Caenorhabditis elegans: one gene and its partner. The protein of the gene in region 1 purifies or fractionates together with the protein of each later gene. This does not show direct contact. Each region holds a gene or a part of one and is shown in the gene's direction. Other genes may lie near its edges. The genes, in order: ksr-1 and ndk-1.

What was found.
Region 2: the proteins of ksr-1 (region 1) and ndk-1 purify together in Caenorhabditis elegans (affinity purification with western blotting, with the first as the bait; one study listed by BioGRID). This does not show direct contact.

What each region holds. Positions count from the first base shown.
Region 1 is NC_003284.9:8,273,061-8,278,170, forward strand, and holds the start of ksr-1 (Kinase suppressor of Ras A), read left to right. Parts: upstream 1-2,108; 5' UTR 2,109-2,158; coding exon 2,159-2,264; intron 2,265-2,306; coding exon 2,307-2,377; intron 2,378-3,018; coding exon 3,019-3,195; intron 3,196-4,349; coding exon 4,350-4,440; intron 4,441-5,110. UniProt on the Caenorhabditis elegans protein: Serine/threonine-protein kinase which positively regulates Ras-mediated signaling probably acting at the level of let-60/ras or/and lin-45/raf. Involved in sex myoblast migration.
Region 2 is NC_003279.8:10,552,609-10,556,186, reverse strand, and holds ndk-1 (Nucleoside diphosphate kinase), read left to right. Parts: upstream 1-2,273; 5' UTR 2,274-2,392; coding exon 2,393-2,445; intron 2,446-2,526; coding exon 2,527-2,620; intron 2,621-2,678; coding exon 2,679-2,993; 3' UTR 2,994-3,068; downstream 3,069-3,578. Other genes in the region: cert-1 (Ceramide transfer protein), read right to left, coding at 209-397, 444-758, 1,127-1,246, 1,297-1,462, 1,537-1,550; F25H2.4 (MPN domain-containing protein), read right to left, coding at 3,262-3,430, 3,481-3,578.

The sequences.
Region 1 (5,110 bases):
ACAATTTTCCATAAAATTAAAAAATAAACAAGCTATGGGTTTCCAAATGTAAACAGACTGAGACAATACTAATAGAGAAAACAGGAGAATTTTAGTAAATGTCCATTCGAAAAACCGAAATTGGTTGCCTGTCAATGCACATCCAAATTCACGTCTTTTATCATAAAATTTGTAATAAAGGACTAAAATCAATGAATAGTGATAGTTCAACAAAAAATGTTTGTTGTCCGCTGCGACGCGTATAAATTTGTAAACTTTAAATTTTTCTGCTAAATACAATCGGTTTTCATTTTAAACAGCATTTTTTGAGAAGTCTCTTTTTAAAACACAGTCTAAACATTTTGGTCCATTAGTCGTCTTTTAAAACGTAATTGCTATTACTTCAGTACTTATATTTTACCCTAATTTTTGGCTAACTTTACCATAGTTTTTGGCACGTTCAACAAACTACCCATAATTACTTTCAAAATTTTCATCGAGCAGGAACAACATTTTTAATGTTGACTTTGCCGAGATGTTACACTAAATTAGTTGTGATCTGCCAGCAAACCAGGAACTAAAAGCTTGTTCAATGCATTCCTGGTATGAATCTTGACCTACTCTTAAGTTGATTACGCAACATTTTGAACACCTGTTGTGGTCTTCTCATTGCGGACCATTTTCTCTCACCCCATAGACATACAGTCTCCTCTCTCTCTTATTCATACACTATTCCCCCCATCCTCCCGTCTTCCCGACATTTTTGCGTCCTTTCCTACTATTCCTACTGTCAATCCACACCGTTCTCCCCTTTTCTCTTCATCACGTTCAAACAGTTTGTTTGCTTGCACGCCGATCTTTCTTCCTCTTTCTCTTTCCACAACTCTCAGCATTCTAGCATTATTTTCTCCAATATATTGAACAGTATTTGAATGCAACGTTTCTTTTAACTTCCGACCAAAGCCTTATGGCAATTTTTTCTCACAACTACTCTTTTCGGTCGGCATTGCTTAATTTTTAAGCGCCATACTGTTGTTCGGTATTTCATGTGAAAGCGAAAAATTAAAAAAGAAAGAAAAGTTAAGCTTCCTAATTTTTGTATTTGTGGTAGTTTTAATACGCAAAGCTAGGAAAATGTAAAACTCAAATTGATAAACTATAATTACTTAGGAGTGATGATAAAGGATAATCGATTTTTTAAGTGAAATAGTTGAATATTTCTACTCAATAAAAAAACACATTTAATATTGGTAGAGTACAATTATTGGATTTGGAACAGTATTCTAATTAAAGAAACAAAAGAAGCCAAAATAAAAGTAGAATGCCATTGAAAAAAATCGGGACATTGTGATGTAATAAGTCTAATCTAACCACCGGAAAAGAAAATGTGGTCGAAAATACCAATTCTTCTTTTCTTCTCGTCACTTCTAAATTGAGTAATGTACATAACCTGTCTCATAATTGTTCGCCACGCAACCTTCACAATTTCGATGGCAGAAAGCCGCCGAAAGCTTTTAATTTACTTTCCGGACGATTTCGACTTTTCTAGAAGGTTAATACACACCTTTTTTGAGTAGATGATGTTGTAATAGTAAACAAACTGTAAGCATACTTATATTGGTCATCGCAATTTGACTTTGAATTGTAAACATCCAATTGTGATGGAATTTGTAGGAAGAAAATATTGTAGATTTTACTAACTCATGAATTGAAATTTCTGACTGTACTGTGGGGCATACACATATTTTCTCTAATTGTCTTGCTCCCTTACAGTACGAATGCAAACCATACTAACAGAAAAAACTCGGCACTTTTCAATATTACTTGCTCGTTTGCTTTTCTAGTCATTTAACGCCTTTCTAAAGCACCAAATACATTCGTATTGCCCTGCTCCCACTACCACACATACATAAACGAAGGATGAGCTCACAGGGAGCCATTTGATAATTGCGACGACACACACACATACACAAAATGAGAAACCAAGCAAAAAAGAGTGTGGCGCACGTGTGAGCTCACAGCGTGCTCCGTTTGCACCGGGGATTTCCAAAAGTTGACCAAAAACCAGCACTGTTTTTTCTTGGCAACCTTTTGAACGTTGTGCTCAACCAACGAAAGATTTATTTCAGGGAAAAGATCCGGAGAAGGTAAAAACTAACCAATAATATCAATACACAGAATGATGCAAACCCAAGTTGCATCACGTGCGGGATACAGTAATCTACCGCAGTTTGGTGCAGGAATCGCACAGGATATAAAGACACAGGCTATAAATAATTTGAAGGGTTAGTAAAAAAAATTTAAAAAAAAACAATTCGAAGTTGCAGAATGTTTGAAACTTACCACTATCAATCGATTTTTGACTTCATCATACGAAGAAGATGCAAAAAGTGTAGAAGTAAGTTTTTTTGAAAAAAAAACAACTTTTGTAAAAATTCAAACTTCTCCTATTCGTGAGCATCGTTGTTTTATAAACTGTAAATAAATGAATTCAAGACAGACTAGTCTTCATTCAGCAGAAAAAATTTTTAAGATGCTTTAAAGTTTTGTTCATAAAATACACTATACATATATTGACACCTCAGTCCAAATTGTTTTAGATCTTTGTGGTAAACCAATCTGTGGTACTAAACGTTTTTCTAGACGTTTTCCGTTTATACTGTAAAGTTTATTTGTATAATTAAATTCTATAATGGTATTTTGATAATAAATTTAAAAAATTAAAAATTTAGATGCACAACTTCGTGCATGAAACGCTAATCGTTATATTTGAAAAACTGAAACTTACTTTCAAACAAATGTTGATTTTCAAATGTTTTAAATTTAGTGAGTTTATGATATTTTGAATATGAAAAAATATCAAAATATCAAAGCTTTTAAAAAATAGATTTAAAAACTTTAAGTGAATGTAACTCTTTTTTTCTACGAATTTTAGTAATCAAGATATCAGAGACAGATGAAAAGGTGAAACAACCTGAAACAAATGGTCTGAAATCTTTCATTGACGTCAACTAAATTCCAATGATTCTCAATTTACAGCGCAAAATATTCTCGGCCGTTTATCAAATGACAAAAATTGGTTTGATTGATCGCGAGAAGCGTGAGATCAACGCCATTTGGTTCACATTTGTCGGGCTCAGCGCACAAAACATTCGGCACTTGGAGATTTGCTCGATCACCGATTTCAATGCTCTGTTCAGCATCACTAACCAAGAGGTTTGATCCTTCTCTTTTTTGCTCTACCTTTTCTCTCTTTTCTCACACATCATTTCCTGATTTTACACCTAACAGAAACATACAAACACTCACAAATCGGGTTCTAGGCATATCTATATCCTTCTAAATGTCTTTCTGCTGATTCGGGTCACAACCTTCAACATTATCGTTTTATTCTTAAACTTCTTTTCATTTCCCTCTACGCTTCCCATTGGTTTGGGGTGTTTGGGAGTGCGCTTTGACGCTCTTTCCCTCTCGTTTTTCCGTTTCTGTTTCCGTCTCTTCTTTCTTTCTTTTCACCTTCTACTTTCTGCATTTCTCTCCTTTCCTTTCCCACTCTTCTCTTTCTCTAGAGGCCAGAAAACTGCAGCTCTCTCCGTTTTTTTCCTGATTTTTGTGAGCTAATTTGTTATCCAAAAAAAGAAGAGTAAACAGAAAAAGAGGATTAGGTTAATTGTTACCTATTGATATTCTGCTCATTGTTGTTTTTTAAGACTCACGAACTTTCTCTCAGCTAGCACATGCATAAGTCATGTATCTGACTGATTTTTATCATCTCATTTCGTAATTGTTTGAATTTGAGTTTCGACTTTTCATTTAGTCATTTTGCAGCAGGAAGTGTTTTTCGAAATGAAATTTGTCTTACTTTTATCTGACAAATCAACTAGTTTGGTAATTTTTCAGATTTAAAAATTTCCTTTTTTTCATTGAAGATTTTTTTAAAACTTGATTTGTCAAATTTTTTAAGATAACTTTACCATTTAATTTACAACAACATTGAACAAATCAATTGTTAAATTTGAATTCGAAACAAAACTTGAAAACTTCAAGTGGCCTTTCATATGATAATTGGCCAAAATATTAGAGTTGATTTTGAATGAATGTTTTTTGTGAGAACAACTATGCTGAAGCATTTCTGGAACATTCATTGTTTTTAGCGATCCAAAGCATACACGTTTTTGTTTTTTTGCATTGCCTCCGTATACTCGGTAACGTCATTCGTGTTCCAACAACACCTGTTACATTTCTACGAGTTGTTTTCACTCTTGTCTGCATGTTATCAAACTTCTATTGCTCGTTTCATTACTTTTAACCGAGTTTCTCTGTGCTCCGCCTTCTGAACATTTGAACCCAAACATAAAAGTTTATTTCAGTTGCGATCGCTTGCGGATCGTGGTCGTCTTGATGTGGAGACCAAACGAAAGTTGCTTCAATCTACAGTGATTTTACAAAATCACTGGAACGGTAAGTGTGCGGCAATTTGAAAATTTGTATTAAGTAAAATGTAGAAGAAAATAATTCTTGCCACGAAAATTTTGCAACTGTTATTTTTTGAAAATGTTCTCAAAATTCCTTACTTTTCTAGTTATTTTCATAAAAATTTATAGTCTCAAAACCAGTAATTTGACATTTTTTAATCAAACTTTAAAATTTAACTTTAATCAATCCCGAGATGGTAACTGCAAAATTAAAAAAAAACAAGACGGTTTTTATTAAAACAATTTTGAAGCATATTTTATACTGAGTTTGCTCCACTTCTTGAAAATTTAAATCACTGTCAAATGTTCAAACCCCATACATTTTAAAATTTGAATATTTTGAATGTAATTGAAATAAAAAATGGAAAATTTTATGATGGAGGACTTCCGCAAAAACTGGTGACCATTTAGTATTGAGCTTTTTGATTTTAAATAAAAAAAACTTTCCAAAGTTTTTGGAATAATTTTATTATGGTATATTTGATTATTTTTGTACCATAGGAATGGTTTTGAAAAACTTCCCCCGCAGATCGGAGTCCGCCTTCAAACGTCGTTTTCGGTTTATTTGTTAATTTTAGAATTAATACTTTAAGCAGCCTGAGAATTAAAAAATCAACCTTATTCTTTTATTCAAATTAAAATTTTTAAAATGTAGT
Region 2 (3,578 bases), on another chromosome or scaffold:
GTGCCAAGCTTTCGTTACACTGATCGGGGAGCAAAATGACTTTGAAGCAAGTATAGAGCATTTTTAGAACATTCTAAAACTTATCTGAGAGTTATTTTTTTACTGAAAAATTGATTTAACATAATCTTATAGATAAGAATTAGGATTTTAAAACTTTTTTGGATTTTCTTTTCTCGAAATTAAATTTACATATTAACAAAAAACTCACCACATCAATATCAGGTCTTGCAATAATCGTAGAAGTTGTCATTGTTGAATTATCGTCAGACATGTATTCTTGTTCAACAATAGATTCACGACGAAGAACAGAAGAAGAAACACTTCTAGTTGCACATAAAGGTTCCCGAAATGGTGGTGGAGTGGATGAAGAAGAAGATGGAATGTTTGGTATTACCACCTGAAAATTATTTGATTTAATTCTCAAACTATCAGCAAATTGTTACTTTAGAAGTCTTGACGAGATCCACGATATGATTAATATTAACAATCAATGCTAAATGTGTTGCTTTTACTGATAGAATCGTGGCTTGTGGGACAATACAACTGGCTCCACCTTGTTCCAGAAGTCTTTCGATTGATGTCATCTGATCCTTGCACATAGTTCGGTATGCTTCGAGTTCGGAGAGTTTCGTGGCAAAAAGCTTCGTTGATTCATTATCATCAGATTTTTGATTATTAGTAGCAAGAACTGAGGAAACCGATGGATTACGGGAATGACTTTTAGTGCTAGTCGAGCTATAATCCGAATCGTTTTGTACCTGAAAATTATTGATTTTCCCATTGAAGTTTTAACTTGATTTCTCTGATTCTAAAAGTAGAATTTCGAAGTGAACGATTTTTTATATTTTATAGCCTCGTACTATTCCCGAACTTTCAATTGACTTTTGTGTGCCACCGTCCGTACTATATATTTACACGGGATGACAAAATCAGGTAAAGATCAACAATGGTGTTTTTGATGTAAAAAGGAACATAAGAGAGGTGTTTGAACTATGATCGGAGCATATTTAAACGAAGAATATACAACTTTTTATCTCGTAATTACTCCGAGAGAATCGCTGGGGAAGTAATTTTTTGAAAAAATTATGTTTTAAAAATACCAAATTCAGATTCAGAAAACACTCACTGTTTCCCGGACAACTGATCGCATCCATAGAAGTTTTGACTGTGAATTCTCTGCTTTCAAATACCAGACAACGTTTTCGCCCATAGATATTGAGAATTCGTTTTCATCAAATTCGTGGGCCTAAATTTTTAAATATACAAGAACTTTCTGAGAAATCAATAAAAGCTCACAGCTATTATTGCACTTTTGAGAAATATGCTTCCTCTGCATCCGTGGGATTTTTCGGCTTTTGACAGATAATAAACAAGATTTCCCTCTGTGATTTCAAAGTATCGATCTTGCCATCCATTCACGTAGTTTGTCCATTTTTTCATCACCCCATTCGTGGGAAGGACACTGGAATGAGATAAATTATATTAGAATTTATCATTGAAACAATTTCTGTAATTTAAAATATCTACAAAACTCACACTTCGCTCTCCATCGGCTTCGTTCGCGAATCAGCAGGTGATAAATGATAAGACAGAGGCTCTCTTTCCGAGAGACTTTCCCCGTTTCGATACAGTTTTGCTCTCACTTTGTTCTGCAAACAAAGCTCACGGTTTGGTAGGCAAACAGTTAAATGGTAGTCGATGGCAGAAAAGAAAGAGTATAGACAACCTTACATTTAGTCGATTCTAAACATAGGGCGTCGAAGGTGGCGAATATGGGAGAACCGGTTTCCTTGTACTGCAAATAGTTTTGTGAAGTAGTGTCTGAAACGAAAAAAGAAATTTGCGGAGCCAGGTCATCAAGCATGAAATAAAGTTCGACGCGTAACGAGGCACAATAGTTTAATGGGAATATGCAGAGCGTTTGTGCTTGTTGCATGGAGACACGAAAAGCAGACATAAGTCATAGAACTTGAGACAAAGTGTAATAAACTATTTATGTCACACGCGTTTTTTCAGATATCAAATGCAGCGATTCACTTCTCAATGTGTTTTGACGTTACAGGTGACGTTAAATTCCGATTTTTGTTCAATAATCCCGATGAAATTTCATATGAAGAAAACCAGTTTGACAGAACATAATTCTCGCAAAAGGTTCAATTGGTGTCCAAAAAAATTGGTCGAAAACAGTGGTCAGTAAAGGCGCTCCATTGCAATTCTGGCACAAAGCCAAGAATGCTGCGAGGTCGGGTCTCGCCACGTGCTGAAGTACGGTTACACTCGTTTCATTTGTGTCGGAGTTGATTGAATGGGCGCCGGCGGGTTATTCTTTTCACTTGCGTTCGTCGCTGTCGCCTGTGCTGTTGACACCTGTTCCAAGTTGGATTGTCCGAAAATGAGCAACACTGAGAGAACCTTCATCGCCATCAAGCCTGATGGAGTCCACCGGTTAGTTATCTTTGAAGAAACTTATTCTAGCATCCTCAATGGATTTTAGGATTTTCAAAATCCTAATTTTTTAAATTTCAGTGGTCTCGTCGGAAAGATCATCGCTCGTTTTGAAGAGCGCGGATACAAGCTTGTTGCTCTCAAGCAGATGACCGCCTCCAAGGCCCATCTTGAGGTACGTTTTCACGAAATTACAAAATTTTAGGCCCAACCAGTTAAATTATTATTTTTAGGTTCACTACCAAGACCTCAAGGACAAACCATTCTTCCCATCCCTCATCGAGTACATGAGCTCTGGACCAGTCGTCGCCATGGTCTGGCAAGGACTTGACGTCGTCAAGCAAGGACGTTCCATGCTCGGAGCTACCAACCCACTCGCTTCCGCCCCAGGAACCATCCGCGGAGACTTCTGCATCCAAACCGGACGCAATATCTGCCACGGATCCGATGCCGTTGACTCTGCCAACCGCGAGATTGCTCACTGGTTCAAGCAGGAGGAGATCAACGACTACGCCAGCCCATTCATCAACTCATGGGTCTACGAATAAACTGATTGCTTATGTCTCCCGGTGTTTTCACCGTTTTCGTATCTCTGCTGAATGTTGATAAAGTATTGCTTCCCACCTAAAACATCGTTTTTGTTGACATCTATTCCTGCGCATTCTCTAATGCGTTTTCATGGCAACCAATCCTACACGACTCAGCTGTCATCAAATCTTTTATTCAACCCGAAAACGGAAGGGGATTAAACATATAATATATTCAGATGACTGCAATAAGTTATGAAAACACGAATTAGGATAATAATTTCAGCTTTTAAGCTCTGAATTCCGCCACTTGCACGAGTTTGTTGCTCAGATTTGTGTTATAGAAGTCGAACTCGGGATTGTCCAAATGGTTTTCGAAATCGGAAAGCTCTCGGTACAACTTCTTCTGAATAACAGCTTGAAGGCCACGCAAGAAGTTGGAACCTTGGAAAATCGTTCTGAAATGAATATACTAAATGAATATATAACATCAAATGTTTTTTCCTACTTCGTTTCTTTCCAACTATCTCCATCTTTTTCATATGCCACGAGGCGGTCTTGTTCACAATCTGACACCAGTCTTTCGTTCATCACTTGTACGAGAAT